Linked DNA regions of Nothobranchius furzeri. The protein of the gene in region 2 interacts with the protein of the main gene of each other region in a biochemical or structural test. Links are inferred from orthologs where the notes say so. Each region holds a gene or a part of one and is shown on either strand. Other genes may lie near its edges.

What was found.
Region 1: the proteins of ras-related protein Rap-2a (region 2) and ralgds form a complex in vitro, tested with the Homo sapiens proteins (2 studies listed by BioGRID). The link is inferred for Nothobranchius furzeri from reciprocal best matches to the Homo sapiens genes RAP2A and RALGDS.

What each region holds. Positions count from the first base shown.
Region 1 is NC_091750.1:38,665,488-38,669,880, forward strand, and holds the start of ralgds (ral guanine nucleotide dissociation stimulator), read right to left. Parts: upstream 2,962-4,393; 5' UTR 2,813-2,961; coding exon 2,624-2,812; intron 1-2,623. UniProt on the Homo sapiens protein: Functions as a guanine nucleotide exchange factor (GEF) activating either RalA or RalB GTPases and plays an important role in intracellular transport. Interacts and acts as an effector molecule for R-Ras, H-Ras, K-Ras, and Rap.
Region 2 is NC_091754.1:22,191,980-22,196,580, reverse strand, and holds the start of ras-related protein Rap-2a, read left to right. Parts: upstream 1-1,674; 5' UTR 1,675-1,819; coding exon 1,820-2,133; intron 2,134-4,601. UniProt on the Homo sapiens protein: Small GTP-binding protein which cycles between a GDP-bound inactive and a GTP-bound active form. In its active form interacts with and regulates several effectors including MAP4K4, MINK1 and TNIK.

The DNA.
Region 1 (4,393 bases), on a different chromosome or scaffold from region 2:
TCTGCAGGAAAACAACATCTGATTCCCTACAAACAAACCTGCTGCCATGCCCCCCCCCCCCCCCCCTACAGACAGACAGGAGGCTTAAGGAAACAGTATGAAGTGTTTTTCCAGGCGTCAGGTCTTCCACAGCGAGTGATCCAACCCGATCCGTCCCGCTTCGCCAAACTGTGTTTTAGTCATTAGGAGCTCATGAAGAACAGCCCTCAGCTCATCCTGCTTTTACATCACAGCAGCAGTTTGGGTTTGCTTTCTTGTGTTCATAATAATAATAATAATAATAATAATAATAATAATAATAAATGCAGATTTGGGTCAAACACATCACAGGACATGCGGGTCACCGGAGTCCTGCGCAGTGTTCTGTTCCGGTTCTGGAATGAATCGTTGTTTTAGATTGTGCTGGAGGAGATTCTGGGAAGCCCGGAACCGTAGGCTGTTATTAAGCTGCCGTGGGAGCAGCTCTGCTGAGTCAGCGTCAGCGTGGAGGATGCAGATAAAGATGAGGAGGGACAACATCAACACTCGTCTCTGGTTTCACCGTCGCTTTGCTTCCAAAAACCCGACAACTTTCAAATAAGAACCACGTCGGCACCGAGCATCCAATCAGAGGCGGGGTGTCCAAATATCAGGATATAAGACTCCAAATCCATCGTCTGCTGCTCAAGTCTGATCTGGCTCGCTTCTATTTCCTGAAACAAGAGCACCAGAGCTCACAAGGTGTGATTTATACTAGAGACCACTGCAGATGTGTTGAAAAAACAAGTGAACTTGGTCTTTGAAGGGTTGGTTACCCCTGGATGGAGTCTTACTTCACCCAAACTTCAGATGTGCCTAAAAGTGGCTTCGCCCGGTGGACCGAAGGAGGCAGTGACTGACGGCACCCCCACATGCGCTATCAGAGTTTGTCAGTCAAACAAGCCTTTAACAAGTGCGTACGTGCACACACACATCTCAGTAGGATGAACGAACAAAGGAACTGCAGCAGGCCGGAGGATTTTCCCTCCACCTCCTACACTAGAAGAAAGGAAGGAAGACGTCTTTTTAGGAGGCGAGCGGCTCTGAGCCGTATTGTTTAATATCAGCTCGAGTGGTCAAGCCTGCTAGAGGCGTGGCCGAGACTAGACTAATTATTATTATACAATCAGGCGATGGTGGCACAGGAGTTAAGCGCTCGCCCCGTAATCGGAAGGTTGCAGGTTTGAGCCCCGCTCAGTCTGTTGCTGTCGTTGTGTCCTTGGGCAAGACACTTAACCCACGTTGCCTGCTGGTGGTGGTCGGAGGGACCGGTGGTGCCAGTGCTCAGCAGCCTCGCCTCTGTCAGTGCGCCCCAGGGCAGCTGTGGCTACATCGTAGCTCATCACCATCAGTGTGTGAATGTGTGTGTGAATGGGTGAATGACTGATTGTGTTGTAAAGCGCCAATGACTGACTCAAAATCAATGTAGTTTTAGCCTGAAGAGGAGCAACGATGACAGTTTAGACAGAATTTTACATTTTTAAATAATAATTATACAGATGATCAGAAAAATAAAGTTGATTTAGGGGTTACTCAAATATACTTAAAGTATACAATGCTTTTTTAAATTATGAACATACAATCTGCAAACAGCTATGAGTTTGTAGAGTTGTAGGTGAGATCAGACCAGGTCTGACAGATGAAGCTAAGTTGAATTAATGCACTAAAACAAATGGAAAATGAGTTATGGTGGATTACGTCACACTGACCAGATTAGCCTATCCTCCCTCTTTCTCTGATGGGTTAAGAAATGTGCTGCGTAATCTGAGATTTACTTTTACTGGAAGTAGTAAACCATCAAAGCACGGAAGGATTACAACTGCTTTCCCCAATCAGAAATATGAGGTTGAGCTTAATATCTACATGCAGAGCGAAGAACGTACAAAACAACGTACAAAACAACGTGGCCTTTAGAGATCAAATCATCATCAGAAGAATTAAAGAAAAACTGGCAGATTGGTTTATTTCACTCTGTTGCTGGATCGATTTTATATGGTTTTATATGGTAAATGTCCTGCATTCATATAGAGCCACATAGGTCACACACACACACACACACACACACACACACACACACACACACACACACACACACAAAGCTGACATAAAAAGTGCAACCCAGCAGAGATGCTGTGACTTACATCACCATGATGGGGTCAGACTCATAAACAGGTGCGCGTGCGTGCGTGTGTGTGTGTGTGTGTGTGTGTGGGGGGGGGGGGGGTCACACACACAGTCACGCAACAACAGTAAACTGATTAAACACCATGAGGTTAACGAGGATGAGCAGAGATAAAGTTCTGGATCAGAACAAACCATTCTGTCAGCGCAGGGTACACACCATCGACATTAATATTAGGCGCACACACACACACACACACACACGAACAAACACACACACACACACACACACACACACACAAACAAAAGGAAAGAAAACATAAATGTAGTTATTGCTTGCTTTGCGGTACAAAGGCTTTGTGATTAATAGTTTACTATTGTATCCGGATGAATCAGACAGGAACCCCGGACCCATCTTACTCCCAGCCACAACAAACAGCATCAGCTAACGGGTCCCCATCACCTCCACCCTCCTCATCCTCACCTCGAGAAGCGGCATGTCCGGGTCCAGGTGGGTGAAGCTGTGCAGGACCACTGGACTGGGGTCCTCGACCACCTCCAGCTTCACCCCGTCCCAAATGTCCCGCACCTTCCATGACGAGTCAAACATTTCGAGCAGCTGTCCCGGTTTGAGGCCGCGCGCCTCGGCGTGCATACCCGGGAAAAAGACCATGGATGCCGGGCGTTTGGTCACAGCGGCATTTTAGAGAGATTTTCTTGGCGTTTTTAAACCTAAAGTGCCGCTGCTGCCAAAGCAGCGGCCCGGTTCGGGTCGGTTCGACCGTAAAATCAGCTCTGTTAGATCACCGCTGCGGCGTGAGGCGTTCAGAATCCTCCTGACTCACACTGAGGGGGTTCTAAGCCACGCCCCCAACTTATTGATGCTTTCAATTGCATCGGAAAACCTTTATTTCTCCAGCTGAGCCGATTAGTGACTGTCGAAAACCCGATTGATTTTAATTTAGGCCGAAACTTTCCGTTTTTGTTGTTCTTTTAATATATCTGTATTTGACTTAGTGTAGCAATCCTATTTATTTAAAGTATTTATCTGTGTCATTAGAAACAACTCAAAAGATAACGTTAACAGCTCCTGTAATACTTTGAAAGGGAGGAACCCCAGACGTTCCTGAAGGCAGCGTTAACTCCTCCGCTCTGACGTCACGCATTGGGGAACGAAGGCCTTGTGTTGTTTCTGCTCGCTATGGCAGCAGGACAGTGTGGGGAAAGACAACAATCAGCTACAGTGGGGGCTCTGCTTTTCTCCTGAAATCACGAACTTATACACAAACAAGCGCAGCTCAACAGTAAACATTAAAAACGTCTCAACAGAGAATCTGAGCCATGGCTCTTCATCTCTCTGTTTACTCCAAGGGGAGCAGTGTTTTACTTTTTCCACACCCCCACAAAATTATCTCCGTTTTAGTATAAATAAACCAAACCACGTGTTAAACTAAACGGAATAATTCCAAAAGTAACTCATATGAAACCAAATAATCTATCATTAGCTGCTACAGGCCGCTTCTGAGACACAGCAGATGCAAAGGAGATTATTGGTTTTGGATCACAGAGATTTAGAGGATTTAACGCCCAGCCGCGCTCCCTGCTGGCCAGTGTCAGGAACTGCTCTTTTTCCAGAATAAGACAGAACTACTGCTGCGCTGTACCCATCACGACCAAATCAGCTGAGCTGTTTGATCTGAACAAAACAGCGGATTACTGATGGTGGTCATTTAGAAAGAAATGTGCTTTAGGATGATCACGTCATCATCTAAACTGATATTTTGTGCTGAGAGAGAGAGAGAGAGAGAGAGAGAGAGAGAGAGAGAGAGAGAGAGACTTTCTCATCACTGAGCTGCACCACATCAAAAGAAGCTGTTCAGATTCAGTTATCGTTCTGATGATCTTACTTTTAGCTACCATTAGATTACATTTAGTGCATTTGAAAAAAATAAAACTTCCTGTTTGATCTGCTAAAGACGCGCTGGAATCCTTGAGAAATTCCTAAACAGCACTCCTGCAAATTCCTGAGCACTGTAACAACTTTGGTATGAAAGAGATTTTTTTTTTACTTCCAAACCCGGCAGCTATGAGCAGAAGTGTGATGCTAATATCCGTCCCGGATCCCTAAACATTCAGAGCACGCTGAGGAGCGGCCATGTTGTTGATTCTTCCATCCGATAGAAATCAATCCCAGAACATGTTGTCATGCTGCCGAGGCTCCGGCTGGTGCTCCCACTTGTTTTACTGCTCCCAC
Region 2 (4,601 bases):
CACTCAGACCTGTGCACGCTGTCAATAGCAAGATATGTATTTGATCATTTTTATCGGTGTTGGAGAAATCTGAAGGTGGTGAGTCATTCTGGCAGATTGTAATTAACACCTGTCTCATGCAGGTGTTCTGACATTGCAAACCTCACACACAGAACATTGTGTATGTAACAAAATAAATAAGAAATGACTCCCATCTGAGCATTTTAGCATTATTATATTATTATATTAGCACACTGACGGTGGGACAGCATTCTAAACGTGTCAGGCTATTAACAGCGCGCTGAAGATCTGAAGTTCAGAGTGCTTCTGTCGGAGGTCAGACGCGGAACCACGGCTCACAGGTGCATGTGAGCACATCTGGGCTGGGCAGAAGTAATTTTACAACATTGGTTTAAATAGTGCCAATAACGAGACACAGTGACTTGAGCGGCTCATGGAGCTGTGCCGCACACACACACACACACACATACTGATTCAACAAGCGCATGCTGCGCTGTGCCGTCAGACTGAAGGAAGAAATTAGGGCTCTGGTTAAACGTTCCTGCTTTAAGAAAACCGTTAAATTGCATTGTTTATGTGCTACCTGGGCACTCTAAATATTGATTTAAAATTAAATCAAAGGAAATTGTAATGGTATTGAATGTTTATTAATTACGATTTCAAAAATAATACATAAACATAAAAATGAAAGTGATGGGGAAAAGGGTCGATCATATTTTTTTTAACCCTGTCTGTTGAGTGACTGTTTAGCGTGACGTCTGATATATATATATATGTATATATATACACACACATACATACATACATACAATGCTCGATACCAAGAGTTTTCCTATCAGTTTGTGAGAAAAAGAGGCCAGAACACAGAGGGTTAAGCAGCATCCATGAAGCATGCTCATAGTATTAACCAATGGCAACGCGAGGCGGCGTGGCCATGGCAACAGCATCCGGTGTTGTTTTCCTTTTTTTCTCTCTACTCTTGGATACGCATCCTGGAGCTGCCCTTGTGATTGGCTGAGCTCTCTTTGGATGTCACTGGGGCAACCGAATGATGGGAAGTTTAACACATGAACGGAAATGTCGGCGCTGAATCTCACTGGCTGCCTGTGATCGGCTCCCATTCGGCCTCCTGTGAGAAGCACAACTGCCGAGGCGACCATTGGGTTGTTCTTACGTCTGTCTCATGAAGGAGGTTCGTTTTTTTTTTTTTTTTTTTTTTGTATTGGGTACGGAAGCCGAGCGGGGACCGGCTGGTTTCGCAGTGGCCGCGGATCTCCTCCACCCGAGAGTATGGCGGCTGGAATCGCTCGGGATAGCGTGGGAGACGCGGAGGCATGCCCGAGAAGGCAAAAAAGAAACAAGAGGTTCCTGTGAGGAAGAGTCGGGGCAGTTTGAGTTTGTGTTTAGTTCTGGACTGGTGACAGTCTAGAGATTGAGCCTTTAGTTGAATCTCAGCTAAAGTGTGTGTGATTTTTTTTCTTTTTTTCCCCCCTCCAGCATCCTCGATGGAGCAAGTTTGTTTTTATGAAGCACACAGAGGGTGAGCTAAGCAGATGAAAACGGTATTCGTCCTCCTTCCTCTGCACGTTTTGGACAGCTGCAGTCCTCGTTTGCGCGTGTCGCTGTCAGTCTCTGGCCTGCAAATGGGGGATTTCTACCCAGAAATCCACGTCGGGGCACCGAGTCTTTGTGCTCTGCCATAACAGCTGAGCCACCGCGCGCGAGGCACGGGGACAAAAATGGGACGCGGATGGTGAACGCGATCGCTCATTTCAATGTCGCGCCGAGACTGATTGCCTACTGATTGATTGAATCCACAATGCGCGAGTATAAAGTTGTGGTCCTGGGCAGCGGTGGGGTCGGGAAATCAGCCCTCACTGTGCAGTTCGTCACCGGGACGTTCATCGAGAAGTACGACCCCACCATAGAGGATTTTTACCGCAAAGAGATCGAGGTGGACTCCTCGCCCTCGGTGCTGGAGATCCTGGACACCGCCGGTACCGAGCAGTTCGCCTCCATGCGGGACCTGTACATCAAAAACGGACAAGGATTCATCCTGGTCTATAGCCTGGTGAACCAGCAAAGCTTCCAGGACATCAAACCGATGAGGGATCAGATCATAAGAGTAAAAAGGTGGGTGCAAAACTAACAAATGCATGTCGGAGATGACATTTCATTCTTATTATTAATGACCTTTTGGGGGGTTATTTAGTTTCAGGGCCTGGTGAACTAAACCTCGCCTACAGCTGCTGTGCCTTCATCCTCTGTATCAAACAAGTGATTTTTCTAGACTTTATGCCATGTTTACCTTCAACAGGACTGATCCGAGGCCAGTCGCAGCATGGTAAATACACCAAGCCAGATGCTGCAACCGCTGCAAAAATACTCAGGAATACCCAGGATTCAATGCTACTGAAGCTCTGCAGAGAGCTTCAAGGAAAGAGCAGCTTTTGCTAAACTGTTGGGTTTGTTTGTGAGGGGGGGGGGGGGGGTAGTACCCGCCAGCCTGGTTCTGCTGAGGAAAGACCATACAGTTTTTAATCCCCACAGAAGGAGAAGGCAAAGATTGCCTGATGTGCCTGCACTGATGGTCCAGAAGTGATGTCATCACGGAGAGCTGCTGATTGATTCAGGGTTGTGTTTTGGTTTGCTGCTTTGTTCATGCTTGCCGGCTGACTTTGCATGATGTCATAAACCCTGCTGAGAGCTTAAATGTGCAGTGTCATGGATGCTCAAATGACCATTCCTGTATGAGCTCTGATGGTGGACGCATTAAAATCGGCTTATGCCTTGTAATATTTAGTGATACGGCTAATTAATTTAGATGATCCTCAGCATTTGGACAGAGCAGCTGAATCCAGCCTTAGTGCGCTGATTTGGTCTCAATTCTGACCACCCTGGAAAAACCTGATCTATTTTTTTTGTCTCCACAAAAAAAAAAAAAAACATTAACTAGAAGATGCCTATCTCTCATTTCAGCTTTTATCACCTCACTGGATTTTACAAATCCCACCAGCACCTATCTCCCCTTACCAATAATATTAATGTGTGGCTCTGTTTGAAAGAATGAGGCCAACATGTTTCCCCCACATGAGTTAAAAATACAGCAAAAACAGGGTATGTTCAATCTGTGAGTGTGTGTTTTAAATGTAGATGTGTGCATGATCACACAACAGATAGAGCCAGGCTGTTGTGTGTGATTTCACACCAAATATGTTGGAGAATCTGGTGGTGTTTTCTAATATCACACTAGAATTTATTTATTTATTTATTTATTAGTGGAACAAAAACATGAACATTTTACACACTACTCCAACACAGCTGTTCATTTTAAAACTCCATGTTTTGTGCAGATTTGAACACTTAAAATCTAAATTTAAGTGAATTTTTTTTGTTTGTTTGTTTTACCTTTGATCTCATGATGAAATGACCTCCTAACAAATGCGACACATATCCATTGGTAGTGTTGCGATTTACCTGTTTGTATGTGTTGTAAATATTCAACCTCTACCACACCAAATGTTAGCTATGTTTAGCTTACATGTACAGAACAGGCAAAAACATTATAAACACACTATAAAAGAATAAAGCAGCATGCGTGTAAAAATCAAACATAGTTTAAAAGTAGGGGTGGGAATTTAACGATTAATGAAAAATATTTATGCGTTAAAAAATTAATGCTTGAGCCCGAGCATTCCCCAATTGTGGGCCAAAGATTAGCATAGCCATTTATCCTCTATATATCAAAAAATAACATCAAGCACCATCTCTAAAGAAGCTGCAGAGCCTGGGCTACAAGACCATACAACCCTGTTTTACGTGCTCCAAACACAATTGATGCGATTATGGCAAATCACTCTTCAGAAAGAAAAGAAAAAAAGAAAAAATAATTGACTTTTAATTTTCTGTTTTCTAGTCGGTAGAAAGCATGCAGGTTGTAACTTTATTACAGCAGGAGGGACAAGTGGACATGCAGCATTCATCTTGTAACTCTCAGCAGAACTTCCCCTGAACTCTACACTAAACCTCTATTTAAATAAGCTGTGCTCTGCTGCCACCCAGTGTTCATTTCAGTACACAACATTTACAATGTTCCTTGTCCATTTTACACTTCATCAAAAACACATATACTGATATTTACACATTCCAACAAATCCTACAATGGTTACCTTTACAATGAGACCAAAGTAATCAAATAGACCAGAAATGTACTCATTTAAGTGCGGGTATGTCACCTGTGCTTCACTTACATTATTTTAATTTTACAAAATGCGTGGGGAAAATTGTCTTGAATGCTTAAAATGTGATTAATCAAGATTAATTAATTACAAATCTTCTGGTTAATTTGATTATTTTGTAATCAGGTCCCACCCCTATTTAAAAGATAACATGTTTACATCTACACAAACCCCTGTGCAAAGGTGCTGCAAACACTGGATATACTCCAATGATTGTTGCTATTAAAGGTGGAATCGACATTCTTGGAAAAAGTCACTCAAGCTACATTTTGAAAAACAATTCAAAGGCCCAACCTCTTTTCTGAGACTCCCCACTAGGGTCACAGAATGGGGCATTGAATGCAGAGCTGCCTAGTGTATTGG